Linked DNA regions of Neodiprion lecontei. The protein of the gene in region 3 interacts with the protein of the main gene of each other region in a biochemical or structural test. Links are inferred from orthologs where the notes say so. Each region holds a gene or a part of one and is shown on either strand. Other genes may lie near its edges.

The links.
Region 1: the proteins of cullin-1 (region 3) and F-box/WD repeat-containing protein 7 form a complex in vitro, tested with the Homo sapiens proteins (3 studies listed by BioGRID). The link is inferred for Neodiprion lecontei from reciprocal best matches to the Homo sapiens genes CUL1 and FBXW7.
Region 2: of the proteins of cullin-1 (region 3) and sentrin-specific protease 8, one has a biochemical effect on the other in vitro, tested with the Homo sapiens proteins (2 studies listed by BioGRID). The link is inferred for Neodiprion lecontei from reciprocal best matches to the Homo sapiens genes CUL1 and SENP8.
Region 4: the proteins of cullin-1 (region 3) and cullin-associated NEDD8-dissociated protein 1 form a complex in vitro, tested with the Homo sapiens proteins (6 studies listed by BioGRID and IntAct). The link is inferred for Neodiprion lecontei from reciprocal best matches to the Homo sapiens genes CUL1 and CAND1.

What each region holds. Positions count from the first base shown.
Region 1 is NC_060261.1:2,647,602-2,657,482, reverse strand, and holds the start of F-box/WD repeat-containing protein 7, read left to right. Parts: upstream 1-3,180; 5' UTR 3,181-3,495; intron 3,496-4,150; 5' UTR 4,151-4,213; coding exon 4,214-4,420; intron 4,421-4,504; coding exon 4,505-4,737; intron 4,738-4,886; coding exon 4,887-4,989; intron 4,990-5,060; coding exon 5,061-5,579; intron 5,580-5,974; coding exon 5,975-6,382; intron 6,383-6,542; coding exon 6,543-6,858; intron 6,859-6,957; coding exon 6,958-7,121; 3' UTR 7,122-9,881. Other genes in the region: vacuolar protein sorting-associated protein 4, read right to left, coding at 529-630, 792-1,234, 1,318-1,585, 1,683-2,059, 2,240-2,351, 2,442-2,465. UniProt on the Homo sapiens protein: Substrate recognition component of a SCF (SKP1-CUL1-F-box protein) E3 ubiquitin-protein ligase complex which mediates the ubiquitination and subsequent proteasomal degradation of target proteins.
Region 2 is NC_060260.1:34,564,657-34,570,452, forward strand, and holds sentrin-specific protease 8, read left to right. Parts: upstream 1-2,603; 5' UTR 2,604-2,725; intron 2,726-2,749; exon of another isoform or gene 2,750-2,891; intron 2,892-3,079; 5' UTR 3,080-3,164; coding exon 3,165-3,827; 3' UTR 3,828-4,129; downstream 4,130-5,796. Other genes in the region: protein phosphatase 1 regulatory subunit 7, read right to left, coding at 1-91, 174-204; protein transport protein SFT2, read right to left, coding at 1,456-1,726, 1,872-2,023, 2,239-2,430; fatty-acid amide hydrolase 2-A, read right to left, coding at 4,193-4,336, 4,447-4,629, 4,733-5,122, 5,326-5,504, 5,589-5,731. UniProt on the Homo sapiens protein: Protease that catalyzes two essential functions in the NEDD8 pathway: processing of full-length NEDD8 to its mature form and deconjugation of NEDD8 from targeted proteins such as cullins or p53.
Region 3 is NC_060263.1:15,794,386-15,804,230, reverse strand, and holds cullin-1, read left to right. Parts: upstream 1-2,621; 5' UTR 2,622-3,308; intron 3,309-3,469; exon of another isoform or gene 3,470-3,717; intron 3,718-4,249; 5' UTR 4,250-4,308; coding exon 4,309-4,472; intron 4,473-4,618; coding exon 4,619-4,781; intron 4,782-4,868; coding exon 4,869-5,087; intron 5,088-5,156; coding exon 5,157-5,411; intron 5,412-5,490; coding exon 5,491-5,784; intron 5,785-6,020; coding exon 6,021-6,314; intron 6,315-6,416; coding exon 6,417-6,596; intron 6,597-6,680; coding exon 6,681-6,830; intron 6,831-6,911; coding exon 6,912-7,030; intron 7,031-7,131; coding exon 7,132-7,252; intron 7,253-7,346; coding exon 7,347-7,453; intron 7,454-7,577; coding exon 7,578-7,797; intron 7,798-7,911; coding exon 7,912-7,992; 3' UTR 7,993-8,293; downstream 8,294-9,845. Other genes in the region: alpha-1,3-mannosyl-glycoprotein 2-beta-N-acetylglucosaminyltransferase, read right to left, coding at 33-266, 579-679, 755-860, 964-1,068. UniProt on the Homo sapiens protein: Core component of multiple cullin-RING-based SCF (SKP1-CUL1-F-box protein) E3 ubiquitin-protein ligase complexes, which mediate the ubiquitination of proteins involved in cell cycle progression, signal transduction and transcription.
Region 4 is NC_060263.1:25,786,430-25,792,869, reverse strand, and holds the start of cullin-associated NEDD8-dissociated protein 1, read left to right. Parts: upstream 1-2,092; 5' UTR 2,093-2,390; coding exon 2,391-2,432; intron 2,433-3,606; coding exon 3,607-3,776; intron 3,777-4,063; coding exon 4,064-4,277; intron 4,278-4,384; coding exon 4,385-4,677; intron 4,678-4,786; coding exon 4,787-4,949; intron 4,950-5,581; coding exon 5,582-5,855; intron 5,856-6,440. Other genes in the region: UDP-glucose:glycoprotein glucosyltransferase, read right to left, coding at 1-52, 473-692. UniProt on the Homo sapiens protein: Key assembly factor of SCF (SKP1-CUL1-F-box protein) E3 ubiquitin ligase complexes that promotes the exchange of the substrate-recognition F-box subunit in SCF complexes, thereby playing a key role in the cellular repertoire of SCF complexes.

The DNA.
Region 1 (9,881 bases), on a different chromosome or scaffold from region 3:
GTAATACATCTAGGGATTCTTAGCTACGTGGAAACCGAGGGTGAAAAAAGCAATTGACTGATTAGCAATGCCAAGAGTAAATTTCATGTAAGTGCAGCTACTTTGTTCGTAAAATTGCAGATTATTTTGCTGCGACCGTAGACATGACTTATTATTCATTTATTTTTATTTATTTCTGTCAAACGTAATTATAATATTTTCGCAGATAGATAATGTTGTATATTTAATATTTATACATTATAATTACATGTAAAATTACGCCCAAGGACTGGTGCCATTCATGCTTATCGTTGATAATTTATATAATTTTAATTCAATTGTATATCATCGACAGCAAAAGAAATATGTCGAGTATCTTACAAGGACTTGAAAGAAAATCTGGTGAAGCTATTTTTCATTTTCTTGCTTTTTTTTCATACAAACGCTAAATCTGTGTTTCATCCTAATTCGGAATAAGGCAAGCGTGTATAACTTTGTGTATGTCTTAATTGTGGGTGAAATTCTTTTGTAACTGGATTGTAGATTGCTTCAGCCTTCTTGGCCGAAATCTTCCTTAAACTTCTCCAGCTTTGCCATATCATCCTCATTAACTGTCGGACGTGTGGTAGCCAGTGACTTCATCATGTCTTTCTAAATTGATAAAAATAAAAGTCGTTAGAATCATCATTAAAAAATTTCACTGAATAGAAAGACAAAAAATACACCCACAATTCTGTGCATCATGTTTTTGTTTACAGAACTATGAAAAAATTAGCAAATAAATTTATAGGTATCGGCTAACTCATCCTTACCATAGTGACTGGAGGTTCGAAGAGCTTATCTCCCTCAACTTCCATCCAGGTCATTTCGATGGCACCAGGTGAGCCCGGAGAGCAAGGGGTGAGAAGGTCATCGACAATTATTGTTGGATCTTTCGGAGAAGGTCCGCGCACTTTTTTGAAATGGGTGGCCGTTTGAACTTGCCTCACAGGCTGCATAAGTGCGTCACGAACAATAATGCTTATGTCAGCTCCCGAGTAGCCATCAGTTGCGGCTGCTAATTTCTTAAAATCATCCTCGGACAGGACGTGAGCGGTATTACCAAGGTGAAGTTTGAACATAACCATACGAGCATGCTCTTCTGGAAGGGGAATATAAATTCGCTTCTCAAAACGTCTTCTGATTGCAGAGTCCAATACCCAGGGTATATTGGTTGCACCGAGAACAAGAATTCCCTCGTTGTCAGTCCCAACACCTAGAAGAAAAACAAAGGGTGCGTTACATTCAAACCCTGAATGAAACTGGGAAAACTGAGCTCTTTGAATTTTATCTTCACACCTTGCATTTGAACTAGAAATTCGGTTTTTATTCTGCGAGCAGATTCAGATTCGTTGTCTGATCTTGAGGAGCAGAGAGAATCTACCTCATCAATAAATATTATACTAGGCTTGCGTTGGCGTGCCAATTCGAATAGATTCTTCACTAGCTTCTCAGATTCTCCGAGCCACTTACTGACCAGGTCTGATGAAGATACAGACAAGAAAGTGGAGTTGTTTGCTTCAGTTGCTACTGCTTTTGCTAGATACGATTTACCAGTACCAGGAGGCTGGAATAAATATAAACATATATAGTGGGAATACATAACAAATGATACAAAAATATACATATAACATAAATTGAAGGGTTTTGGGTCTGAAACTTACGCCAAAGAGCAGAATGCCTTTCCATGGGATACGTTTCCCAGTAAACAGATGTGGGAAACGAATGGGCAAGATAACAGCCTCTTTTAGAGCTTCCTTAGCAAGGTCCAACCCTGCGACATCACTCCACTTTACTTGTGGTTTCTCAATTACTATTGCCCCTTCCAATTTGCTTTGTAATTTCTTTTTTTCTGGATCGCTGTCACTGTCGCTATCCCCACTGTCACCCTTTTTATCATCGCTTTTAGAATTACTCTCTCCATCTTTGACCGGTTTCTTTTTTCCCTTCTTTAGATATTCCTTCAGCTTCTCAGCTCGGTCCAGGTATTGTAAACACTTTGTCCTAATGCTTTCCTTGGCCCGTTCTCCCTGAGCCTCATCTGAAAACAAGTTTGATTGGTGAAATGAAGCGAAGTTGAATGAAGTGAACATTGAATAAAGTGTTTGCATTTTGAAAACAAAGTCAACAAATATGTATTTGAGAAAACTTATTCATGCCACAGAAGTGAATTGGAAGAAGAATCGAGAGTCTGAGGCATGTAAATACTGATGATGTGTACATTTGATTGAATGAAGAAAGTATTCAACGCCGTGTTCATAGTGCTTCAGAGCCTCTTCATAGTTTTTGTTCCGATCTTCCTCGGTGGCCTTGGTAACCAGGTCTATGGCTTTCTGTATTTATACGGGTAGAAAACGAGAATAATTGGTCAATTGAAAATATCCAGGCTTAAAATTTGAGGAAACCTTCCCAATAGTTAGTACCTGTAATGTTGTTCCTGCTGCCATTTTATTGTGAAATGGCTCCTCCCTAACCTTAGCTCACCAGAGTGAAGTATGCGGAATTCAAGAAAGTCTTGAACTGATGATATTAATGCTGTTTTATACACGTGCAAAAAAAGCTCAGTTATCCATAAATAAATTATCGAACGCACGTTGCGTAAACTGCCTCGATCGCTCTCGATTGGAGAAGTTTGCTGTTCTGTCAAATTTTTAACCTTCAAAATTTAGGTCTCTGACGTCACTGACGGTGACTCCTACTCTACCATTACCATGACCCTACCACCGCTGCATCGGGACTATCAAGGCAAAAAAAACCTTGGGCGATCTCATTTGAACGCAGCTTTGGCGTCCTCTCACGGAGTTCCGGGTGAACTAGTCGTGTAGAGATGTGGAAATGAGCACTGATCTCGTGAGCCCCAAATCATAAACCGACACTAGCGCTACAATACCCGAAGTTAAACTAACGGGTCACCCGGGTGATAGTCTATCAGAAACAGATTTAGTCACATGGTCTTGTCACTTTAACCAATGACATACGCAATAAACCACGTGATTCGTTAGTTCCACTAAGGCTATTGAGGCGCTGGTATCGATTTCGTCTGCTTCTGATCGAATCAAAAGGGCCTAGGTCGCTAGTCACTAGTCAGCCATCCAGTTAGTACAGAGATCAGTGGAAACGCGGCTAGAGTGTGTTGAGAACGTGGTCTTTTAACCGAAGTAAACGCATGTGCAAAGGCATCGTGCGAAGCACGGAGTTCGAAGGGAACAACTTCGGTTCGTCGATGGATCCTACGCCGTGTTTATCAGCGTTTATTGTTTTTATTTGCAGAGTTTAGTGGTGGAATAATAATTGTGGGGAATAAATTTGCGAGATTATAACCTAACCGAGGTGTACCATACGAGAAATGCGTGCCGTGTGTAGTTGATAGAAAATTAATTACAACCCCGAACAAGTTGGGACGTCTCGCGCGAGGCGAGACACTGAATAAACCCGTACCGCTGAAGGAAGGCAGAGAAGTGGAAATCAGTCGACCATGTATGAACCTATTTGATTTTTTCCACACTTCTTTCACCGCCGTTTTGCATCTAGCCATTTTATCGAGTGGTAAATCGCTCCCTGCTTCCCAGGGTGTGGCAAACCGGCCCTTTGTTACATTTTCTCTTAAAGGCTATCTTCAAAATGGCAAGTTCTACTTGTGCTCTTTTTCAAGGTTAGGGTTTACCTCAATTGTAGTTCGAATTATCATCCGTGTATTTCATCCGTGTGATTTTTATCACACACCTCAATTCACCTCTCTTACCATTTTCACATATTTTCTTTAACCTCCATTAAAATCTAATTCAATTCATTAATACCTCCGACTGATTATTATTATGTATCAATTGCTTTCATTTCATTTCGAACCAATATCATGACCATACTTGTCGTCGATCACAGGTGTAGCATAAACAAGTTTCTTTTCATAACTGTGGCTCAAATTAGGAGCAATATTGCAAATTGGAAGCTTTTCATTTTTAATAGCAGTGATTTGGAGCTCTTAACTTTCATTTAATATTTACTCTATCTCAAAGAATTCTCTAGCGGCAGTGGCTGTGCAAAATTAGCTCGATATGTTATTTTAGTATGAAACATCTTTTTACCGTCCAAACATTACACAGCAAAAGATTAATATGACGACTGTTTGACCTAGAGAATCTCACTCCAATATAATGCTTTCAATTTTCTGGGCCTGTGATAACGCCAGAACTCAGTGATGTCTACCCCTTCGTCGTCGTCCAAGGCGTTAGGAGGAGAAAAACCAGGAGGTACAAGCCCTAGTCCCGTTGAAGGTGTTGAAGGTGTTCCAGGACCAAGTACACTAGATCCTCTGCAATCCGCACTTGTGCACGATGGGGAGTCTGAGGATTATGGAGAAGAAGGCGAGGAAGAAGAAGAGGATAGTATGGATGAAGAAAGCGAGGTAGATAAGAGAAGAGCATTGTAAATACAAAAGTATGTTGTCGTTACTCTGCTTATTTAAAACTTTCTTTTCATCAATGTTCAGACAAGTGATGGGGGCATGTATTGCGATGCCGAATGTGGAGAAGAGAATGATGCCAACGACTGCCATTCGTTATCGTTGCAATCATCGCCGACATTACCACCGAGACCTCTTAGTCCCATACTTCACACATGTGTTCCACTAGACGCAGTACAGCCTCAGAGGAAACGTAAAAGCGAAGCTGAGTCTACACTGCCCTGTAAAAAGCTTAACCCAGAGGAAAAGACTTATATTATGTGAGTAGTTTGAACTTGTTACATTTTTTGTTTTTTTGAAATTCAATATGGTACATACAATTGTTTAACAATGCCAATTTGCTTGCAACAGGGAGATATAATTGTGTTAGATCATTGTAAACTATTTTTAATTTTAACTAATTTTGTAGGGTTGTGAAACGGGTTGACGACAAAGGGAAGCATGTGAGAAGCATCATTCCGACCCGAGACAATCCCCCACCTGAAATGAGCAGTTGGTTATTACAGTTTCAGGTAAGTGGTGAAGACTGTGGAGTTTATGTTATTAATGACAATTGACCTTTGAGTAAAATAAATTGTTACAGAGATGGTCAAATGCAGAAAGGATGTTGGCTATTGATGAGCTAATAGAAAGATGCGAACCAACCCAAGTTCGGCATATGATGCAAGTCATCGAACCACAATTTCAGAGGGACTTTATTTCGTTACTCCCTAAAGAGTTGGCATTGTCAGTCTTAGCCTTCTTAGAACCAAGAGATTTATTGCGAGCCGCGCAAACATGCAGAAATTGGCGCTTTCTTGCAGATGACAATCTATTGTGGAAAGAAAAATGCCGAGCAACCGGGATAGAAGACCTTAAAGATCTACCTACGCCAAAACGTAAAAATAGTCGAAATTCAAATAGTTGCTCCTCGCCATGGAAGCAGGCGTATATGAGGCAGCATAACATAAAAATGAATTGGAGAACTAAACCGATTCGTACACCCAAAGTCTTAAAGGGTCACGACGATCATGTCATTACCTGTCTCCAGTTTTCTGGCAATCGAATTGTCAGTGGCTCAGACGACAATACCCTCAAAGTTTGGTCTGCTGTTACAGGAAAGGTAATTCAAATGTTTTAAACTCTATTTCCCGTACTTTGTAACAATTTTAAATTATTCTTTGTCAAGTACCTACTTTATAAAATACTGTATTCGGTAAAATTCATATGATTATTTTGTTAGACCCAAGTATTCTGTACGATTTTGTTATAAATTACAAAATTTTATGTTTGATATTGTATCACATCCTATCTAGTCCTATGTTGAATGTTGCGATATTACTTTGTTTAAAAATACTGGGATTTTTTCACATTCATTTCTATTGCACCATTTTTAAAGCATCTAAATAATGTTCATAGACGTACCCGCTATGAAATAAGAACATTGCTCCATATAAAACACGCAGAAGCAAGCACCCTCGATATAAAAATAAAACCACATCAATTTTATGTCAACAGTGTTTAAGAACACTGGTTGGGCATACGGGTGGTGTCTGGTCCTCACAGATGTCTGGTACTACAGTAATCAGTGGGAGCACAGACCGCACCTTAAAGGTTTGGAACGCAGAGACGGGCCAGTGCATACATACGCTTTACGGTCACACATCGACAGTAAGGTGTATGCACCTCCATGGCAACAAGGTGGTCAGTGGCAGCAGAGACGCTACACTAAGGGTGTGGCAAGTTGATACAGGGGAGTGTCTCCATGTTTTGGTCGGACATCTCGCAGCTGTTAGATGCGTGCAATATGATGGAAAACTCGTGGTCAGTGGGGCTTATGACTATATGGTCAAAGTATGGAATCCTGAACGAGAAGAGTGCCTTCACACACTGCAAGGACATACCAATCGCGTTTATTCCCTTCAAGTAAGAGCTTTTGGAAGAAATCATTGCAGTTTAACTTTATGTAATAGGTGTAATATTTAGTATTATTATCCGAAACAATTTAAAATGTTCTTAGCAAATAGCTGCTGCGGTATAATTACATCATTTAATAGTAATTGCTATTTCCTCTTGTCTCGTTTAGTTTGACGGTATCCATGTGGTGAGTGGATCGTTGGACACGAGCATTAGGGTATGGGAAGTTGAGACGGGAGCGTGTAGGCACACCCTGATGGGTCATCAGTCTCTTACTTCGGGCATGGAGCTCCGTAACAATATTCTTGTATCTGGTAATGCCGATTCTACAGTCAAAGTTTGGGATATTGTTAGTGGGCATTGTCTGCAAACTCTTTCCGGGCCAAACAAACATCAATCCGCAGTTACCTGTCTGCAGTTTAACAGTCACTTTGTGATTACATCCTCTGATGACGGGACTGTCAAACTGTGGGATGTTAAGACTGGTGGGTCTCATCTCTTTGCTCAAAGCAATGTCACAATATCAGAGCTACCGCATTGGAACCGAACTGTAAAATGATATTTGTTTTAAAACGTGATTTTAGGAGACTTCATAAGAAATCTTGTGGCTCTGGAGAGTGGGGGTAGTGGAGGTGTAGTTTGGAGAATTCGAGCAAGCGATACGAAGCTGGTGTGTGCCGTGGGCAGTCGTAATGGTACCGAGGAAACCAAACTGCTGGTTCTTGACTTTGACGTAGAGGCCAAATAGTCTTCCCGTCTTTGGGCGAGACGACGCCTCTATGTGACTTCTGTACATACTATAATTAGGTAGCATAACCAATCTACTGTACAATGTTCATGTATTACATGGTGTGATTGTGATAAGACTGCATGAAATTATTGTGAAGGGAGTTCTAAAATGAGCGTTAGGTTCTTCACAATGAATATTTGTTGATTGTGGGTCGTACGTACTGCAAAGTACAAATATAAAATTCAAATCTTACGGCAAATTGCGGAATATTAGGAGCTATCGAAGTTATTACGCAATTGTTGGACAATTCAGGATAAATCTTATCAACGGATTCATACTGTTCTGAAAGAATTCAATTATTGGCATGTACATATTATGTCCTAAGAGGAAGCAAGATCTTAAAGGTTTACTGCGCTAATCAGCTCAGTTTATAGAACAATTTACAGAATTACCCCGTGCTGAGAAATCGCTGTAATCAAAATTTCCATTCACACAGAGCTGAGCTGTGCCCCATTTATTTGAATTGAAATAAAGTTGATTTCGTTTCTTCTCACAACTCAATGTGAAACTTGTGCAACTCATCAAAACTTTAACGTAAAACCTAGTTTTTTTTGTTTTTTTTTATCGAATCATTGAAGAAATATCGTAAGGAATTAAAATTAGCGACTTTGTATGTACAAAGTTTGGCATTTTTTCTCTAGATTGACTTCTTCGCTCTTATCATATATATGATGGAACAAAACCACTTACTCGTTCGATAGTAATAAATGGGACACAGTGCACTTGACAAGTCCGCAAAAACTGCCCTGAGATCTAGTATGTCACGTTAACATACGTTAAGTTGAACTAAAGTACAACGAAAATAATGGCCAGAAATATTAAAAAACAGTACGAAAACATTCTAAAAAAAAAATTAAAGGTCTTTGCTATTCGCCGATTCACTTTTTCTTCACCGGGCAACCGCAGCAGCGCAAAATTTGTTACAATATATCAGTTTCAAATATACGAGACTTACCTGATGTTATCTGGGTATTTAGAATGCTATGCCGGGTTGAAAAGTCATATTTTATCGCACAAAATATATGTATATATATTTATGAAATATATATATATATTTTGTTCCCACGTATCATCCTCAGATAGGAATAGGTCGAGAATTGGTGCATATATACATATATACATACATACATATATATATATATATGTATGTATGTATGTATGTATGTATCAAAATTGAATCAATAACGCATATCTTCTGGACCTTGTGATCTTCAATGATAAGATTATAGCATGAGTACAACAAAATGCATGATTTGTGTGCTAGAATTTGACTTGGAATTAATAATGTGGACACTCAGAAAGCAAACATTTTTCAATCTATGCCAGTAAAGCAATAATTGTTGATTGATTTTTTTTTTTCCTCCTTTGTCTTTATAAATTCTGTTGAATTATTTTGAACGAAAGTGGAAACGAGTGAATGATTAGGGCATTATTATTTTCGAAAGAATTATAGATTTCGTTAATTTTATCAATTACTATTTATTGCTGTTAAATTAATTCGCATCGGGATCTAGGTATTGAATACGGCGATTGTTAATTTGAAAGAGAATATTCCTCTTGTGAATATCGCCTGGAAGAATAAAAAGAATTTTTTTTAATCTTGTAGAAATTTATTGTTTCATTTGTATTTACATTTGGAAAATGCCGTGCTAGAAATAATATTAGTATTTTACAATCAACGATGATCTCTTAAATGGATCAAATTGCACAGCAATACCTACGACTAACATACTATTTATCAAAGAAGATTTAAAAAAACCGTCGGGTTCTACAGGCATTTAGAATCTACCTTCTAGCCATCCCTAGATTATTATATTAAATCTTGTCACGTATCTTATGCGCATAAAATTGACTGATTAGTAATTCCTTGGCTGCTAAAAGTTCATAATTACCGTATTGAGTGAGACATGTTCATAACACGAATCGAACACGGCGTACACTCCAGCCTATACTTTATATTTAAGATGGATCCCAGCTAATTCAAAGTTACTTAAACAGAAAATAGAAAATAAAATTCGGATTCAACGGAATCTATGAAGGATCTGTAATGCTTTTGTTGAACATGTGATCGTCCGTTACGGAAGATTACGTGCTTTACACACTATCACAATTTGAATAAATTTCGTTGCTATTGCCCTGGCACAACAGAAAGCGAGGCGAGCATAAAGTCAATAATAACTAACATAATCAAAGAATTACACTTCTCGTCATGTACGTTTCTATTGTTAATATTATTATTACTGAGACTTGCACGCAATTTTAATTCAATTCTGTTTTTGAATAATGAGATCCTAATGTATGTGCCTAAATTAATGAGAAGCATTAGGAGTTGAAAAAAAAAAAATTTCGGTAAATTTTCTATGTACAATGAATGAGTACATGTATATCGTATATTTTCATTGAAATGAGAAAGAAACTGCGGGTAAAAAATTATTGATAGGTGGCGAATATTGTTGTGTAGTGGAATGTAGATTTGATTTGCATATAACTTGCTAAAAGAAAAATTACCAATTTTTTAGGGTTGAATTTCGTATTTCACAAAAATGTGTTAGTATTATATGACTGAGGTGTAAATCTATAATGAGCGTTGGAAGAATTCATTATCAATATTGGATTTCTTTTCTTACAGTAATATCGTTTTCATAATTCTTTAAAGAGCGTACAGCTAGGATGAAATTGAATTATTCATATTATGTACAAGATAAAAAATTGAAACAT
Region 2 (5,796 bases), on a different chromosome or scaffold from region 3:
ATAATCAATATTTCCCCCGGTTTTTCATCCTCGATTTCCGGCACCTCTTTTTCGGAATCCTCCTCACCGGACGCCTCGCCGTGTTCCTTGTCTGTGTAACAAACATAACCGTAACCATAACATAACCTTAATGTAACTTGTGAAAATATCGTTACTCATAATGCCCGATATACCAATTCGTTGATAATTACCGTTGTTAGCCATCGCCCGCTGTTTCAGATAGCGAATTAAACAATCAACCACCACTAGCAGTTTAATTACTAATAAAGATCTGATTCCAAAATTAGACACAATAACTCAGATGCCGGATGAATCAACTTCCCTCGCACCCAAAGGGCAAGAAGTGAGTAATGACAGTTAATCACGCTCGCGTGACGTCAACACTCGAATGTATCGAATTGCCCTCAAATTCGATTTTCAGCAATCGATATATGTAACTTAAAGCCAACGTCTCGCGTGACGCACTCTCCGCCTTATTTTGAACGACTCGCTTCCGACCCTCCCGACCCACTTACTGCAAATGTTTATAAGAGGATTTGCAGAACAAGTTCAAATTCATTTTACGAAATATCTAATTGATAAAATATCCCATTCACTTTACATGATATTGTTAAACAACTGAGTCAAGATTATTGAGCTGCAAAAAAATGTTCGAAATCTTTAAGCAATCTGTTGTTGACGGAAGAGTATATCTTCAGTCAACAACTCTGCACTGACGTTCGAGTATTGTCAGCAATATAAATTGACACTATCGCTATTTGAGTCACTGTGGATTTGAGCATATTGCATATAATTACAGGCTAACTACAGGAATTATAAGTTGAGGATTACGCGCAATCAGATGAATAACTATGAGATACTGATTAAATTTTTTTTTTTTTTTAACAAATAAACTGTTGAAATAAACTTTATAGACTACGTATTGTGAGAATACAAAATCGTGTGTGGTTGTTTGTCATTCCACACTCGTTTATAATTCGCGAATGAAGCGTATGCGTAATTACAACCTCGTGATGAGATAATAATTGGTGTAGTAAACATTTCAGAGTTGATTTTCAATTGTAACTGCGGAAAATTGGTAGTTATTAATTTTTGATGCTTTTGCTAACTTATGCCTAGTTACAAGGAATGTAAATTCACACAATCTCTCGTCAGAAGTTATTTCCTCTTTGGTGAATATAGTGGGTCCTTGTCTACCATGTCATCCAATTTAAGCTAAAATTCTTATTGAACGATCGAATCCAAATATAAATACTTGACATAATTTAATAACAGTATGATCCTATACTTATGTGAACACATAAATAAACGGATATCGAAGAAAGGACGCAGTGCTGAATTGAGTCTGAATTGAGCATAAAGAATCATCTAGACTTGTAATACGTTTTCCAACTCATTACAGACTCTGGTTTGACAGCCACCTTATCCTTTTTGAACCACAAAATTCATCGACACTCATACGGGCAGAGTTGAGCTAACAGAAGATTTGAACATCCTTGTGAAAAACATGAGTCCTGATGTACCGCCCGGAATATGGCTAACCAAAAAAGACAGCATGGCTATCAGCTGCATTACCGCGCACAGAACTGTGAACGGTGTCGACTGTAAATGCAACGCGAAGTAAAGGGTGCCGATCAGCGTTGTAAAGTATGAAATAGTGAAGCACCTTCTTTCTGCGGTGAAAAGCGATCGCAGATAACTCATTGGACCCCATAAGAAGCAGAAGCTGAAAGAAGACAATAAATGAGAAGATTGTCCTATTTAAGTTTGCAAAGCAATGCTATGCTCATTTAAAAACTGGAAAATTAAATATTAACTTCAGGTAAAATTGAGCATAGCATCGCTTAAGACTTCAAATGACAAAACAATACCTCATCAGAAAGAACAGGCTTCCTAGGGAGTAGAGTAATGCAAATTTTCTTGCTTTCAGCAGCAGCACAGGAATGTAGATTGCAGACAAACAGAAGCACAGAACTCCCATGAAGAAGCATACAGCAAAGGCAGTCAGTCGTTGCAGTCTTGTCTAAAATAAGGAATTGGCGAATAAGTTCTGAGAAAGACTGAATGCTTCAAGTTGTGATACAATGCATCCGATTGATAAAGAATGATGAAAAATAGTCGATATACTGCTGGGCCATATGAATGGCTAATTTTAGTGAAATTTCTCACATATCTGCATCGAACCTGTGGCTCAAAATATGATATTTCTAGGTTATGACGAAAGACCGTGATACCGACCATGCTGGGACAGCAGTCCTTCTTAGTCTCTTTGAACCATCCAGCCTCCTCTTGCGGCTCCTCTTCCCCTCTTCCTAGCCATTTTCCCAAAGACGGTTTCGGTATCGATACCGAGGGTATACCAATTTTGAATTGCTTTTCATTTTTACTGCTGAGAAGATATTCATTCAACTCTTTGTTTAGGTCGGCCATCGTGATACGTGGCCATGTTGAGTCAGCCGTGTAAAAAAATTGTCGATAAAGAAGCTCGACGGCTCGCCTCGGTGTTAACGCTTAGATTAGACCAAAGTGGTCTCTGCAACATAGTCTGTAATCACTTAAATTTTTATTTACATGCCATTTACCATGATCTATTTACTACATGAATTTTTGTGATATGTCAGCGCTATTCGTGATTTTCGCTACTCGCCACCATTTGTCTGGTCAGTCATGAGTGAGGTCCAGTAAACAAAGTTGCGTGTGCTGTCCATAGTCAACAAATCCCAAGGTCAACATAAAAGTACAATACATACAATCATGCATACAATACTAAAGTGCATTGTCCTATCCACTTTAATGAATACGTGAACAGATGTCAAACAGACTAATTAAGGCTATCTCAGCGATGAGTACCTGTTAAACAGCGGGTTGAATCGGTCTCCACATTATTTTTGGTAACTTATTTCTCAGAACCACAATGTTATCAGTGCTGTTTTGAATTATGATTGACAATTGCGTAATGCAGTATGACAATTTTGATTTCATGTTTGAATACCTTACAAGTATACTGATATAAGTCTTCATTCATGCTTCTAGCTTATTATCTCTTATTAACCATGAACTCCACATCACTGATTTATAGGTTAAACATTCCTGCGAAACGTAAGACATTGGGTTGGTAGTACGGCGGTGAGTTGCAATCTGATAATTTGCTACCAATATTGAAAATGTCTAAGAAAACTGACAAGAGTAACAGCATTGTCTTGAGCTATCGAGACAGCTTGCTAAGAGAGACTGACGTGCAGCTCCTGCAAGGGCCACATTGGATTAATGATGCAGTTATTGGATTTTACTTTGAATACCTGGGTGAGAAAATGCATGAGCAGTCCGAAGGTTTATTATTCGTTAGCCCAGAATTAACTCAACTGCTGAAACTCACAGACCCCTCGGATTATGGCATGCTGTTAGAACCCATTAGAGCAAAGTCAAGATCATTCATATTCTTTCCATTAAATAACTGCGACGATAAGGAAAGTCCTGGTGGCACCCATTGGAGCTTACTTGTATATTCTAAGCTGGAAAGGATATGCTTTCACTTTGACTCATCTAAAGGTATGAACAGTCAAGTTGCAAGAAATTTTGCAACAAGTATTGCAGACTACTTTGGCATAAAGAGATTGGGATCATACCTTGAAGTTGATACACCACAGCAAAGTAATGGCTATGACTGTGGACTATATGTTTTATGCACTACGGAGTTAGTTGCCATTCACGCAGCCTCAAAGTCACAAGTTAAAGGATGTGACTTTTTAGGCCTTGAAGCATTGGTTAATGGAAAGCGGAAACACTTGATAAAACTGATTAATTATTTGAGAAACGACGAATCATAGATCGACAGATAACTGCGATGGTGAACTGAATAGTTGCATTATTTTCGTATGAATAAAAATTGATTTATTCGGTACATAAATATATATATATATATATATATAAATATTATCTTAGCTTTGTAGAATACTTGGAATATTACAATAGATATTAGTATCCTCAGACTGGAAAATCTTTTGTTTAGGCCTGTTGCTAATATAGGTAGATTTCATACTTTGTTTCAAGAATCGAGGTATTCAATGGCAATGTACTGTGTTACGTCTTTAGAATACATTCTTTGAATAAGTTTATTTTCGTTTTGTAATATTGTTGAAAAAAAGGAAAATTTCAAATAAAAAATGTATTACTGTTCACGCCGCTTTTACGATCATGTATACAGTGCAATATCTGTTGGAACTTCGATCGTCGCACCGTTTTCGATAAGCGGCGGCGGAACCCACCCACCAAATGCTCGTCCAATTTCTTCCGCGACAGCAAGGGTTAAATGATCTTGATACATGCCGCCAATAACCTGAAACACACAACACAGATAATACAGTAAAATCGCCAACAGGATTGAAAATTGAACCTTTATTTATAATTAATCCTAAAAAATTCAGTGATTTTAATGTGATACATTACCTGTATACCAATGGGAAGACCGTTTTGATTAAGACCCAATGGGCAAGCTGTTGAAGGCACACCCAAGACGTTGATAATTGCAGTATAAGAAAAATTAAATGGTTTGATCAGTGGCTCATGATGCATCGGCGCTGCGGTGGGATGTGTGGGATATAAAAATATGCCGCCGTCGTCTAGCATGTCCTGAAAAAAGGTGATATTGAGGTTTGAATGTTACATGATTAATGAAGAGAAAGTTCGGAAATCGGATGAAATTTTAAAATGATTAACTCTTAACGTCCTGTACCTTAAACTCTAGATAAAGATCTCTACTTTGCTGAATAAGTTTCGTATGTTTTTCGCTCCCGAATTTAATTCCGAAACTTTCAACTAGTACAGTGATCAATGCGATCAATGTATGAGGGCCCATAAAGGTGAACCATTGAGCCAACTTCCACCATATATTCAGCACTCCTGTCCGGTTGGACAATTCATATGCAAATCCTCTCGCATCCTTTGTACTCATGTTTGCCAACCAAAGGTCAGTACTCTTTTTCATCTTTTTTAAATCTACTTTTTTTGCCTTCACCTTGTGAACTCTGGCGAAGTAATCAATGACGCGATACATTGCCTTTTTTATTTCAGGCTCAACTGGGCTCACCAATAGCTGCCCACCATCATCTTCCATATAATAAATCTGAAAATGATGGACTTAGATTATCAAATGTTTGAAATTCGATAACAGTTCTTTGAACGTATTCTTTGTTAATTCCATACATTTGGAGAGAATACAGTAGCAATTGGACAAAAATGATGTTTCATTAACTATTATTAATTTTCCTAAGATATAAACCTATTCAATAAAAACGCGCTTTTCAAATAGGAATAATATATTCGTACCTTCAATTTGGAAAGATCCACTTTACTATCTAGATTAAGCATACTGGCATTCTTTCCAGCTAATACTCTGAGCATAGGAATCAAGTCAAACGGATTTCTGCACATCGGACCAAGGCTGAGAAGAACATCCTGTTCTTCATGATGAGGACTCGGATATTGACCCTCATTTGACACAACCCCTGTGCAAATAATCGTGATATTAATCGTTAATTGAATTCGACATTTTATCCTCTATTATCACGGATGACATTTCGATTACTGACCCCTTGTCGTCTTATGTCCAAAAATACCATTGAAAAAACAAGGCATACGTATCGACCCTCCAATATCCGAACCAATTCCAAATGGTGAACCGGCTGCTGCTATCAAAGCACCTTCACCGCCAGACGAACCTCCAACAATGTGCCTGCAATTTTTATTCAAACACTTAGAGTAGTCATTACACTTCTGCGGTCCAATGAGTTAAATTTC
Region 3 (9,845 bases):
TGAAGTTTGAGATGGGTAATAAACCAGCTTACTCTTATGTGCGTCAGTTGTTCTCCATAACTTTGAATCACATTCGTAGTCGGTTCGTGTTCGCAGTCCTGGCTGACAATGATCGGAAATTGTTCGGCGCTTGGCCTCAGTCTGATCAGCTGATCGAGACATCTCTTCACAGTAACTCTGTTGCATGAAAATACTAGAACTGCAATCACGGGTTCCTCATTTGTCAGTGATTTTTCTGGTGCAACATGCTGAGCTTCGTCTACCTGCTGAATAGTGAATATAAAGTCGTTTGAAAACTAGGAAATGAAGGGTGAAGAGGGGAAACAGCTATATTTCATCGCTCGTTGAAAATGATATAGCGATACCATTATTATTGCATTAAAGAGTACTTTCCGAAAATACCACTGTTGGATGAGAAATTCAGTATTACACCTCGAAAAACCTGCCAGTAGAATCGATACCGAATGTACTCTTACGGAAAAGGAAACATTCATTTCCATTTTTCTTGATATCAGAATGAGTGGACTATAGCAGTTTTTCCCCTGGACCCTTCAAATGTCTTACGACAAAAAACTCACTATTTTCAAATCCTCTTCGGCGGCTTCTAGTTTGTCTCGTTCGGCGTTTTGCGCCTCTTCTGCATTCTTCACGACAGTAGACTCCGCGTTTTCTGCTTCGTCTGAAAATCACGAACGTCAATAAATCGATGGAGCTTCAATTGACCGTAATAATTCCAATTCAAAATGAGGCTTACTCTGATCCTGTAATTTACCACGAAGATGTTGAATGAGTTTTTTATTCTCCGCAAATTGCTCTTTCACTCTTTCTTCGATATCACGAATTTTCGCTGCGATGTTGCCCTGTAATTTTGGAGTTGGGAATAATTTTTAGTCATCAATATCAGGGGTGTATTTCCAGAGTTTCATTATCAATTCGTGCACGGAATCAACACTTGATATTCACCTTATTTTGTTCTTTGCCGATTGGACGATCAAGAAATAGAAAGTAAGTTATGACACCCCATACGCAGAGAGATGCGAATATGAAGCTGATTGATTTTTTCCGCATGGCACCACCGAACGTCACCTCATCTGCGAATGTATTTCATTAACACATTATATATGTATATGTATAATTTGTGATGATGGATGTATCACTGTCGAGATATCAAAAGGTTATCAATTCTGTGATTAACTGTGACAAAAAAATCGAATGGAGGATAATGTGAATGTTAAATATTTCCGTGTTCATAGAGCATTATCATTCATTATCAGACTACATTCGGTTTGTGATGTTTATTCCCATTCAGTGATAAGAACTTATCCAATGCAGATACTCATCTCAAGCTTGTGAAATTATGACATAAAATATCATTCCTCCGGAAATTGTTAGGCTCGATTAAAATTTTGTTACGATCGATTTCACGTTTAGCAAATTCGCACACAATATCAGGTAAAAAATGCTCTCTGTCAAAAAGAATTTTTTAACTGTGTCCGGACAATTGTTATTGCTTATTACCTTTGGTGTTTACGTTTCAGATGTTTTTTCTTTTCAAATTTTTCTATCGGAGTAGCAGAAATTAAGGGACGAGTGACTTTCCAAAACTTTGAGGAAAATTCGTAATAGCGAAACCACGTCTACAGATACGTTATCCGAGAACAGCTCTTTGACGGCTTAGTGCCACGTTTATCTTCTCGACAAATGATTATTATTTGTACAAGTGCTAGGTAAACTAACCAATACATAGACTGGAATTAAGTCAAGATATATTTACCGTATTTCTGTATTCAGCTGACATTAATCGGCATTTAATACTGTCACAATATAAGCCAGTAATAATTATCCTAATAACGATTAATCTTCACATTATTTATCCCGTTTTTGTTCAGACACGACTGGTGAAGTACGTAACGCGTGTCGACGACAGCAGGCTGCAGCTTTGCTTAGCGCAATGTCAGGTTCTGTCATTACAGCATGTTGTCATTCGATGCTATGATTGCTCTCTCCTTTTCGCTTTGACTTCATTAGCCTCACTGACAAGCTCGAAGCTATCCAAAATACTTATTCGATTTTTTCCTCCCCAATTCTCGGCGAGAGATTAAGTTTGCTCAGTTTTTTTACCAGTAGTTTATTTTTCTTTCTCCTGCCTCCCGCCCCGCACCAACGCGACCGTGAATGATCAGTTTGTGTGGATGTTTATTTGCCCTTGTATGTGCATAATAAATGATTCGTTACTTGGTCACTGGACATTGAGAAGCGGATTATTCAGCATGAATGCAATGAGGGGAGAAATTGCCGACGGCAATTACTGATACAGGGTCTGTGAGTGCATATATGGTGCATATGGTGCGTTTAAGTTTAGAGAAGTGTGTTAGCCTATGCATGCATAACACACAAGCAGAGGTTCAGCGCATGCACAAGTATCGAACACCGAGTTACGACTTTTGATTATCTACGACCAGGCTGAAGTTATCGAGAGAGCTCAGCTCAGTCGGCCAAGAAGAGTGACTCATAATTCGAGAACTTTCCGCATGCGCTGCGTTCGACCTTGTTAGACAACATGGTGGAACGGATCACGCGATGACGTAGGTGAATGCAAATGAACATTTAGGCGAATATTCTTCCGAGTTAACGTAGTTGAGAACAGGTCGAAACCGCTGTGCTACAAATTGTCCGTTTGCGTTTTTATCCTGAGGTTTCGCGTTTATTTATAATGACGGTATGCAGTTCGCAGCCGATACAAAGAAAATTGAGTAATTATATAAGATCGATTGAAAATTTTGCGCCATCATTATCGTCATTATAATTGGGTAGCCACCAGAGTCGCGCAAGTTCGGCGTCTTGAACGATAAATACTGAATACAGAACACATAATAATTAGTGGGTAAAAGTGAATAACTGGAAGTCGAACGCGCGTCGAATAGTCCGATGACCGCAGTCACCCTCGATCGAAAACAACGAACGGCCAGCTCAACGCCAGCCGAGGATATCCCAAGCTCTCTGTCCCAAGGATAATCTAGTGATCTCAGATTCTCTGTAGCGAGCCGAGAGTCTTGAAGTTGGCTGCAGTGTGACTTAACCTGTCAGAAAACGGAGAAAAGCACGGAGCACACTCAGTATCATAACCGACTTGTTAACCCACACGTACTGCGTATTCGTTCAGACAGATATTCAATCCTCTTTCGTGTATACATATATAGTGGTTCAAATTCTCGTCCGTGCTTTCCAACCAGACGCACCAAATCCACGATATTTCGCTTTTCAACGCAAGGCTCACATATTGTTATGCGGTGGTGACTTAGCGCCAGGTGAGTAAACCTTCCTTGTCTCCGAGATAAGATTTCTAGTTTGAGAAAGAGAGGAAGAAAAAAAAATGTTGTTTCCTTCGTTTCAAATGGCATTGAGGAGAGACAATGGGACCTTTCGCGTAGGTTCTTACGTTTCGTTCTATCGACCGAATCCACTTCTTGCTTTGTATTTTTCGCAAAAATTTTACCAAGCGTAGTATCAATTTCTTAGTTCTTTTTGTTTTCTTCTTCACTTCTCGCATTATTCTTTCACCGTTTCTTTCTATCGCATAATCGGGTTACCCCAGTTACCATTTGCTCGCTAACGGAATTAACCCCCTTCTGTCACCATTGCTCTGCATTTTATGTTCGGATTCACATTTCCGTTAACGAGTTAATCCGCGTTTCGGTCACACTACAGTATCTTCTGGTAAATATTAGCAGAACCGTTGATTGGTCTGATAGTCTTCGAATTTTGGATTCCAATCTAAACATATAACTAGGCTTTTATTTGCTACACACAGCCGATTTGGAGCTGTAACATTTTTAAAAACGATTCTCAAACCTCTAAGACGTATATTTCAACAAAAATATTAACGAATGAATTACATGACAAGAAAGAACCCTCAAACAAAGAAGATTGTTTGAGATATTAAGATTGGCACAACAAAACTCTTCTCCCACATTTCACACGTCAATCGTATCTATGTATGCGCATCTTATCTGCGGATAACCAGTCCCTCGTTCATCTGGAATCTATTGTATTTATTTGAAACAGCGTGTTCAGAAATCTAGATAAGCCCTCTGCGGCTGGAATACATAATTTTACCACAAATAATAGCACCAACATAACATCTTTCTTTGTATTGCCGTGCGATTTTTATCTCCATCAAATTATTAGTATCGCCAGTCACAGTTGAGTATTACAAAAGAACGTGTGGCATTTCTTATTTCATTTCCAGAGTTATTCAAGTAGCAGGTAATTAGAGTGAGGCTGGTCAGACATTAATTTGGGAATAAAATGTCTGGACACAGAAGTACCGGTGGCACCGGAAGCCATCCTACTGGTCCTCAGGGTCTCAAGCAAATAGATCTCGACCAGATTTGGGGCGACCTGAGAGAAGGCATCGAGCAGGTTTACAACCGGCAATGCATGCCCAAGCCAAGATACATGGAGCTCTATACGTATCCTTAGATATCAACAATTGACTTGAAAGACATATTTCAAAATGTTTTTGACACTCAGCTTGTGATACCTAAAAAAGAATCTATCAAAAATTTTACATAATGTATTTTATGCTTAACTGTAAAACTGATGTGAAAAAACACAGACACGTGTATAACTATTGCACGAGTGTACATCAGCAGTTGAACAACAGGACGTCGATGAAAAGTAAGAAGGGTCAAATATCGGGCGGCGCTCAGTTAGTTGGGCTGGAATTGTACAAACGTTTGCGAGACTTTCTGCGGAATTATCTCATCAGTTTACTGAAGGTGCGAGACGCCGATTAGTTATCCTTATCCAGTTTTCTCTTGCTCTATTCTTGCGATATTCAATGCCTGATTTCAATCCTCGTTTAGCATGGAGTCGACCTGATGGATGAGGATGTGCTGAAGTTTTACACTCGACAATGGGACGAGTATCAATTCAGCAGCAAAGTCCTGAACGGGGTCTGTGCGTATTTAAACCGTCACTGGGTGAGGCGAGAGTGCGAGGAAGGTCGAAAAGGAATTTGTGAGATCTATCAGCTGGCGTTGGTCACATGGAGGGATAATTTATTCAAACATTTGAACAAGCAGGTAAAACAAATGAGGTGAATCAGCGTATTTTCGATGTCAAATTACCCACTTTTCTCCACTACTTATCAGGTAACCAACGCGGTGCTCAAACTTATAGAACGAGAGAGAAACGGTGAGACTATAAACACAAGTCTTGTCAGCGGAGTGATTAATTGCTATGTTGAGCTGGGTCTAAATGAGGAGGATCCGGGCGCCAAAGGGCAGAATTTGTCCGTCTACAAGGACTCGTTTGAGAATGTTTTTCTTGATGACACTGAACGCTTTTATACACGCGAAAGCACTGAATTCCTACGACATAATCCTGTCACAGAGTATATGAAGAAGGTGTTTGACGAACATATAGCGAAACTAACGCCAAGAAGAAGGAGTGGGATGTTCATACAAATATTTTCGTTTTTCACAGGCTGAGCAGAGGCTCCTGGAGGAAGAGAAAAGAGTCAGGGTGTATTTGCACCAGACGACACATGAGCGTCTAGCAAAAACCTGCGAAAAGGTCCTCATCGAGAAACATTTGGACATATTTCATGCAGAATTCCAAAATCTTTTGGACGCTGATAAAAATGTCGATTTGGGTCGAATGTACATGCTTGTCGCCAGGATACCGAATGGTCTTGGGGAGCTTCGCAATCTTCTCGAAAGTCACATAGCTAGTCAGGGATTAGCTGCTATCGACAAGTGCGGCGACTTTGCGGTTAACGTATGTAAATTTACCGATCAAACTTTAATAACTGCACGAAATTAGCCATCAAGTTTCGGGTCTTTCGATAGGAAAATGTTTGATGAACGAGTGTTGCTATTTGTCTCTTTCTTAGAAGCGACTTACGATTACCTGGATTTATATTGCAAGAAAGAAAAAGAAAACAAATATTGAGAGAATCATGAAACTGAGCTTATTAATCATTACTATGTACGGTTATGGAAATTATTTTTCAGAACTTTATACTTACCATGTTGTTAGTGCAGGATCCTAAAATATATGTGAGCACTATCTTGGAAGTTCACAAGAAGTATAATGCGCTGGTATTGGTTGCGTTTAATAATGATAGTGGATTTGTCGCTGCTCTGGACAAAGCTTGCGGACGGTTCATTAACAGCAACTCTATTACACGAGCTGCTAATAGCAGTAGCAAATCGCCAGAACTCTTGGCCAAGTACTGCGACCTTTTACTCAAGAAGAGCAGTAAGAATCCGGAAGAGGCAGAGCTCGAAGATACACTTAATCAAGTTGTAAGTTTTATCTAACTAATAGCAAAGTGTAACATCATCTAACTCGCGATCTTATCATCAAATGAAACAGCGAGGTTAAAATAATGTTCTTTCTTCGTGTAGATGGTAGTTTTCAAATATATCGAAGACAAAGATGTATTCCAAAAATTCTACAGTAAAATGCTTGCCAAACGGCTCGTGCAGCACATGTCTGCCAGCGACGACGCTGAAGCGTCAATGATTTCAAAGCTGAAACAAGCTTGCGGATTCGAATACACTTCTAAACTACAGCGCATGTTCCAGGTATCTATACGTAATCACGTTGACAGATTATATTCCACTTTTTACTATTTTACCTTGTTTTATTGAAAATTTATCGTCCTGTAGGATATCGGAGTGTCGAAAGACTTGAACGAACAATTTCGAAGGCATTTGATAAATTCTACGGAACTTCTGGACATCGATTTTAGTATACAGGTGCTGTCGTCCGGTTCCTGGCCGTTCCAGCAATCTTTTACATTTTCTCTACCCACAGAGGTACTAGTTCTTTTTGCATACTTAGGTAATAATGTACGTGTCCCGAACAATCTATGCAACGCATTTGGTTTTGTTTCGCAGCTGGAAAGATCTGTGCACAGGTTTACCACTTTCTATAGTTCTCAGCACAGTGGGAGAAAATTGAATTGGTTGTACAACATGTCCAAAGGGGAATTGCACACAAACTGTTTTAAGAACAGGTGAAAATTTATTGTTAATCTCTTGCATCGCTGGCTTTGTTTTTTCTTTTTCTTTTTTATAATAATTCTCAATCTCTGCTAATTTCGTTTTTTATTTACAGGTATACTCTGCAAGCTTCGACCTTCCAAATGGCGGTTCTATTGCAGTATAATGTGGCTACACTTTGGACCATGCAACAACTTCATGACGCAACGCAAATCAAAATGGATTTTCTTGTGCAGGTCCTTAACGTCATAGATTTTTTTAAATAAATTTCCTGACTTATCGTGCTTTGCTCCATCTTTTTAATTGCTTTATTTCTTATTTGTAACACAGGTTATACAGATTTTGTTGAAAGCGAAGCTTTTAACTGTCCCTGCACACGAAGATGAAACTAATTTAACTCCATCGTCAACCATCGAACTATTTGCAGCATATAAAAAGTGAGTGAATACATTTCTCCTTCACCTTATTGTCCAGAATTCGTAAATCTCGTACTTTTTCACATGTAAAACTTGAAGGCTTAGAACTCATTATTGACCAACTATCGAATAATTTTAATTGCAGCAAAAAATTAAGGGTAAATATCAACATACCAATGAAGACGGAATTGAAGGTTGAACAGGAAACGACCCACAAGCACATAGAAGAAGATCGCAAGCTGTTAATTCAAGCCGCGATTGTAAGAATTATGAAAATGCGTAAGATCCTAAAGCACCAGCAACTCGTCGCCGAAGTACTAAACCAGCTCAGTGCGAGATTCAAACCGAGGGTGCACGTTATTAAGGTGAGGGTTAAGTTGATTTCAAGGATTTGTAAATTTTCAATATACAATCTTCTTTGACGGATGTACACAGCTTATCATCTTCTCGCTCATTTCTTTGATTTCTCTCATTCGCAGAAATGTATAGACATTTTAATAGAAAAGGAATATCTAGAACGTACGGAAGGACAAAAGGATACGTACAGTTACCTGGCATGATCTGCCTAAGTGAGACAACAAAGTAGCAGCTGTTTAAAACAGGAGAAACAACTTCTGCCGTACGCATCTGTCATTGTTGCTGCTGCTGTTGTATCTACGTTACAATATTTATTATTTACGTCGCACACAAAGTTCTTGTATACAACATAAGCCCCCTCCCCTCCTTTCGGCCCTGTATGAAATAATTGTCCGACCGATCGCATTTAGCAAAAATGAAGAAAAAGAAGGAAGAGAGAAAAAAAGAAAGAAACATGGATTTTATAAAATATTATTAATAAATTTCTTTCATAGTTCAAATTTATTCGGTTATAAACGTAATTTGCAACTAATGACAGCCGGAGAACAAACCTTGTGGTTTAAAATTAAATGAACAATTTAAGTACCAATTATCGATTTGTATTGTTTATGGAAGAAGGAGCAAATGCAATTTTGCTTCTACGTTAAATTTTATGATTGTTTGCTCGTGTCGTAATCTTCGAGACACGCGTGATTTTTTTTCCTATGTATTCAGTATTTTTTTATATTTTATTAGATGCGTACACCTGTTAAATTAACTAGCTGAACAGACTCGAAACGCATCTTCTATCTATAGATAATTTTGATAAATACTTGCATCATATCGGGCACCTGTTTTTTTTCTCGTTTTGTTATCAAACAATCCTTGGTAATTTACGAACAACGTTTTTTATCACTGTTGTTGTAAATTGATTGTAAGCTCGCTGTGCGTTACCGGTTTTCTTTTTTTTTTTTTTTTTTTTTTTTTTCCCACCAAAAGGTAAACATGTGAACTTCTTTGGTTTGAGAAAACTTCATGGATCATATTCAAGATGAAGGATTACAGATATTTTCTTGGCATAATTGTAATTATTTTTTTTTCTGATTTTTATTCTACTTTGTTCTTGATTGATCGATAATTACGTAATGTTAATAAAATATTTTATTGTAGTGTATTCGAATTTTAATAGCCACAAATCCTCCTGTTGTTATTGTGATTTTTTTTTTTCTAATCTTCTAGGGTTGCGCAAAGAAATTTATCTTTATTTTGCGATGGTTTTTCTTTCGTTTCATTATGATCATCGTGTAATGCTTAAGGACCGTAATAAGATTTTTGTGAGGAAGTTGTTGGATTGTAATCGAATTTCGCCTGTTCTGGGGAAATGGAAAGTATTGCAAAATCCAAATGGAAGTCATGCGAGATACGATTTAGAGACGTTTTATCAGATTCTAAACAAGACGGCGATGAAACAGAAAGAGAGAAGAAAGAAAGAAATGTCCTTAGCAAATAAATAAATAAGTACGCACTGATGTTTTATCGTAATTTGCAACCATAATTAAACGATACGCGGTAGTTAGATTCAATTTTTAGGATGATATGTAAGTAGGTAACATAGCAGGTACAATTTGGGTCGTCAATGAAATAATATTTGATTTGATCTAGTTAAATTAGTAAGGATATTCTCAATTGTTTAACCATACTTGAACGTGAGATAACTGAAAATTGAGGAATGTAAAAATGAATGGTGTGTACACAGCACTAAGTCCATGGGATTAGTTAATACTGCGATGCGCCGTATTATTTAAACTGACAAAACACAGGGGTAAAGAAAACAATAGAATTCTACGTACAAAATATATTTTATTTTATTGAAAAGCTGAAAAATTATATTTGGAATATGTGGCTAAAAGTCGGGAGGCATAAGATGTAAGATGAAAAACGAGGGTAAGAAGTATAAAAAAAGCATTGAATATTTTAATAATCGATGACAGCAATTTAGAAGGTAAAATTATAGAAGTATGCGTGATTTCATTTGCGATGAAAACATGAAGTGGATGTTAAAATGGGTTTTTCCTTT
Region 4 (6,440 bases), about 10 Mb from region 3:
AAGAACTTTTTCGTAGCTGTGATAGCGACATTGTATGCATCTCTTTCCATGGCTATAAATATAATGCGATGAAGAGATTTGAATTGTAAATTTGATCATTTTTGCAGCAACAGATTTAACATGCAGGTTGCTTCCAGTTTGAGGGATATTCATGATATTACAGTTCCTTCTCAAGAAAATGACAAGAAAGATGGAGGCTACACGATGATGGGTATATATAAAAAGTTAATCAGATAATTAAATAATTTGTACACGTAGAGAAATTCAGGGTGTTTTTTGCAGGAAGTCAAGTTACGGATGTTAATCAGTTTGCTCATGGCTGAGTAGTTGTCTTTAATTACAGAGAACATGTAATTTTTCAATTTTACTATTTACAACCATTACGTCATGTTGTTCTATAATATAGAAATGTTAGAATTATATTTGATAATAAATTTAACATGTAGTTGAAATTACATTTAAATCAACTTACCATTTGGTGGCAGCAAATATGAACTGCTCGATATTTCATCGACAAATCCCCAGAAGTAGTCATGACTTTCATCACTGAGATACTCCGCTACCTCTAGTATCAGAGGCGTCTCTTTCCACTTGGCATCGATTAACGTTGTTACATATTTATTGACTTGTTTATCCGCAGTAATTTGGTTTAAGCATAATACGAATGAGTACCAAAGTATAAAAACCCACATCTGTAAAGTTAAAACCTCAGCATTAGAAATTATTCAACTAAATACCTAAAATCTGTCTGGCACGATTGCTACAAAATCACAGGAATATTAATTTCATGAAAATTACATGGAAAAGATAATAAGCGAGCTTCTCACAAACGTTATTTCTTTATTTAAGCAATTTCAGTTGCATTGACTGCAGAGACCCGATATATCGCAAATTAAAAGCAATTTAATTAAAAATGCTTAATAGCACATTATTCTGAACCAAACATTAACATAGAGTTAATTTTATGGGAGATGTATAAGTATTACTCATCACACCTTGCAATATGTAGTCATGACACATTTTCGAATAAATTTGGTCATAGATTAGGTATAAAGAAAGTGCCTGATATAATTAAGCTTATCAAAATTTAAGGAAGCAATAACTTCCGTTTCTTCTTTGGAACATGATAGAGCCATACATCCTCATATTTCTGGATTTTATTATTTATATAAATAACGTTTAAATGAAATAATTGAGAAGTAACTAAGAAAATTTAGCCTGGGAAAATAAAAATACTTTCAAATATTGGCGAAACTTTCAATTTTATATCAAATTGCTAATATGCCAAGATAAGTCTGTTAGAACAAATACGGTACCTTTGAAAATAAGTTTAGTTTTTACGTTATACGTTATGAAGAATTTATTAATGACAACAGCCAATCCATGCAGCGCACGTGCCACCGGGTACTAGTTACTACTACACAATCGTAACTTTGAACAAAACTAGCCTCATACTAGCCTCGTCAACTAAACCACAATTATAACCTGCACGACCACCTTGCGAATTTTCAACTATTTTTCACTACATAACTGGCATGCTGGCACTTTGGTACAAAAGGTAACAGCTTCACCGGTTTTTGACGGCGGAGTAGGGACAGACCACGACTGAAGCAGAAAAGGAACTGAGAGAGCCTACGCTCGGGCACGCTCAGGTTTTTCTTGTTCTCGATCTAGTAGCGCCCTCTGACACGTAATAAATTTTTGTAACTAATTTTCGTGGCGCGTGGTCGGTAAGCCGGCGGTACATGGGCGGTGCGCATGCATAGAGATCTGTGGATGCAACGCAATGAGCGAACAATACTTTGCGGTTCAGCCATGGAAAGGCTAGAAAATTAGAGAAATTGCATTCAATGCAGACTTTTCCTATGATTTAGGGTGCATTCGTAATGTCTATTTGGTCCGGCGGTCCACCGACTAGAGTGTTCGTAAACTTCACTCTGCGGCGGGCAGCTTACAAACCCTGACTGTTGCGTCAGCTACATTCGGATTCACAATCAAAATTAAGTCTGTGGTCAAACCCTTTGTTGCCTCATAAAAAAAATCACTTCCGAGCTGGCCGTCTATTTACTACAACGTTCTGCCTGATGAGCTTTAGAACACGTATTCAGTATTAACATTTCCTACGTCCGCGGTATTAACCGTCACGTTTCGGCACTTCACAGTACTTCGTACAGAGGGTGGAAATGTTGCTTACCGTGGTATCTCAATAGAAATATTTTTTATGGTGATTTTTGACTCACCACGGAAAGTTAAGAGTAATATAAATCTTGTGTCTTGACGGCACGGTTTAACACACGAGTTGACTATTTCAATACTTGCATTTCATTATCGGTACCGTGCCGCGATATAAACAATAATTCGGCCGGCTGTGGACATTTTTACCCATTACCATGGCTAGCGTTTCGTATCAAATAGCAAATTTGCTGGAAAAGGTGATACATGAATATACTTCTACAAATAATAAACTACTTTTGTTACAATTTATGCAATAATTCGCCAGTAACCAAATCAACTTGTCATGCAATGGAGATAAAACTCTCGTTACTTAACCTATTAATTCATTTGCTATAGTCATTGGAATTTATTATTTCCAGGCTATCAGAGCAATTCGTGAAATCAGTTGCGTCTTTTATCATTAATAAATTATTACATTACGTAGATAATATACATCAAACTTCCTGTTTAAACATGTTATTCTAATTCTCTGTACGTCAAGTTTTCCAAAACAAAGAGGACCAATACCTTATGAGTCAATAATTTTGAAAAATATCGTTATAATACTCAATCGTTTCAGAATTAAATTTCAACTATTTCTTTAATGAATAAATATCATCATTGGATAAGACGCAACGAACTCTCTCAATCTACTTAAGGTTATTGGTCGACTTTCACACTTCATTTTTAAGCTGACTTCGAATAGTTGTTATTAATACAGGAAGATTCACAAATAACCACTGGTTGTATGGTTGAAGGTATTTTATCTTCATTTTAGGCTCTGAAATCGAACAAATGGTCACTTGCGAACCTTGCCGTAAGAATAGCTGCTACTTGAACTTAATTCGAACATCAAGTACACACACTGAATTGTAAAAACAGGGGATTTGTCAGAAACTCGATATTTTACTTGGGCTATTACAGTTTATACCAGCATACTATCTTTATTAAACCTCAATCATCGATCATTATAGGCTAAAGATTCTAGTCATACTCTTAAAACATTAGTCTGGGAAAGCTGTGGTGGAAAATGTTCTTTATGAAAACAGTAAACTTTAACCAGTTAAAATATTGTGTAATCCATAATGAATTTTACAATTTATTTCTTTGACTCTATTAGTGCACAAGACAAGATATGTATATAACTCAAATTAATTGTCTGTTCACTGTTGAAAATCCGAATGACTTTCTTACATTATCCATTTAGGGGTCTCATACCTGATAAGGCATTTTACATAATTAAATTTATTTATCTAGAATTGTTTTGATTCTTTATACTATACACGAGTGACATTGTAATATGTCAAGTCATGGGTCGTTTCGATATCGGGTCAATTGATATTGATGCTTCCTATTGTGAGATATATAGGTCTATATTAATTTTTGTTTTAGATGACATCCAGCGACAAGGATTTTAGATTTATGGCAACGAACGATCTAATGACTGAATTACAAAAAGATAGTATAAAACTTGATGATGAATCAGAACGAAAAGTTGTCAAAATGCTTCTCAGATTGTTGGAGGATAAAAATGGAGAAGTGCAAAATCTTGCCGTTAAATGGTATGTCTTTGATAATATCAGTCATGGACTGAATAAAAATCCATTCCACTCAATCGATCTCAATTCACATAAAATTATTATAATTCACAACCAACTAATAAGATAACGAAACAACCGAAATTGATATTTTAATTACAATAGTTTAATTCCGACACAATTTGATAGAAATTTGGCATGAAGACGTTTGAATGAGAAAATAAAGCGATACTGAAATTAAATCAAGTCAAAACTGTAGATCGTAATAATAATAGAAATCTTGTAGAAATTTACATTTTCTTTACTTTCAGTTTGGGTCCTTTGGTCAACAAAGTGAAGGAATATCAAGTGGAGACAATTGTCGACGCTCTCTGTGCCAATATGTTATCTGATAAAGAACAACTCAGGGATATATCGAGTATAGGTTTAAAAACCGTTATTTCGGAGCTGCCGTTAGGATCAAATGCACTCGCAGCTAATGTTTGCAAGAGGATCACAGGTCGCCTTAGTAATGCTATTGAAAAGGTAAATAGTAGTGAAAATATTATTGGATTAGTGATTTGACTAATCCAAGTACAGAAATATTGTCTCTTTGAAATATGTTCCGCTTAATACTCCAAACTTTATTCTAGCAAGAAGATGTACCTGTACAACTCGAGGCTCTTGACATCCTTGCAGACTTGTTATCTCGATTCGGAGCTCTCCTGCTAACTTTTCATCCGACAATTTTAGCAGCTCTGTTACCACAGCTGTCTTCTCCACGACAGGCTGTAAGAAAGCGCACTATTGTAGCTCTCAGTCACCTCGTCACATCGAGCAACAATCATTTGTATAACAAACTTTTGGACCATCTTTTGGATGGACTCACGTCTCAAAAAGTTAAGAATGTTATTCGAACTTACATACAATGCATTGCCTCGATCTGGTTAGTACATTTTCACTATTCTAAAGTATACATTTTTTTACTGTGCCTTTCGGTAAAGATTTAATGTATAACGCAATTTCCATGTTTCAACGTATTCGCATCGTTACAGCCGTCAAGCAGGCCACAGATTTGGAGAACAAATCGAAAGAGTGATGCCATTCATTGTACAGTACAGTAACGAGGATGACGATGAACTAAGAGAGTACTGTCTCCAAGCATTCGAATCTTTTGTATATCGCTGTCCAAACGAGATTACTCCACACATAAACAAGGTATTATAGGTCTTTTTTATATTTGATATCACCAATGACCATCGATATATGTGCACAGAGAATATTTTGTTGAAGTAACTGACCCTGTGTTCAAGAATTTTTGAATCTCATGATCTATCGTAGTTCAAATACGATAGGCGAAATAATCAAATACAATTCATTTTTTGTCAATTATCTTTATCCATGAGGCGATAAACGAGGAAATAGTCATGGAACTTCATTGGATGAAATATTCAGAAAATTCTGGCATCCACAGGGCATTAACACTATTCCTTACTCATTTACTGTCGAATTTTTCATGCTTCAACAGCTTTTGATGAATTTAACGACTAGTAGCAGGACAGAATTAAGATGAATACGATTTCAAAATGGCAATGGCAATGAAAGAAGTGTAACTTTCGTTTTATATATACCAAATATCCCGATATCATAAATATTTTACTGAACGGGTTAGGGAAAAATAATCCTTTTTATTGTGAAAAGGAAGAGATATTCATTTTAGTTTCAGCTAATTTTTCATCACTTTCAATATGCCATAAAACATTCATTGTCATGTCTATAAACACTGTAATTAATCAAATGACTGCAAAGTGGTTAACTCAGATTTGTTAAAACTTGAAAACCAATTTCAGATCATCGAGATTTGTTTGTCTTATATAACATATGATCCAAATTATAATTATGATGATGATCTGAGTGAACAATCGGATGGAGATTGGGTAGTTATGGAAACTGAGGAGGATGGTGAAGAAGACGGAGAAGATGAGTACTCAGATGATGATGATATGAGCTGGAAAGTACGCAGAGCGGCAGCAAAGTGTCTTGAGGCTGTTGTTTCGACCAGGCGTGAATTGCTCCCTGAATTATACAAAGTTGTTTCCCCAGCACTTATCACCAGATTCAAGGGTGCGTTGACTTTGTTCATAATACGTCTTAACTGAATATATTTCGCTTCTGCTTTGCACCTTTTTTCACCCATCAAACGTCAAAGTGTCTAGAGTCGGGAAATGTCCAGGAATTTAAGACAATCTGGTAAAATGATAGAAATGTCAGGGTTTTAATGGCTTAGTTAGCAGAATTTTACTGATTTTTTTCATTGATACTGCTCCAAAGCAAATATTCTAGCCATCATGTACTACATCTGTATAAAGCAAAGACGTACAAAGAAGTACGTATGTTATAATTAGAACTTGCGCTTGTGTTAATTTGACGAAAAATGTAAAATTTTTTCAATAATCAAGTACAAAACTAGTTCACACTCTTTAATGCTACGTATGCTTTTATTTCATGAAAATAAATATATACCATGAATTATCTTCATGTAAAAATGCCAAATGTTCGTTGAAATATAAAGTCTTGACTATTTCAACTTAATACAAAAATATTATGCGTATAATTCAATGAATTTATGTGAGAAAAGTAAGTTTCCTTGGTAAGGATAGTTAAAATGAGCTCTAGGATAAAATCAATATTTTTTCCTGGAAAATCAGG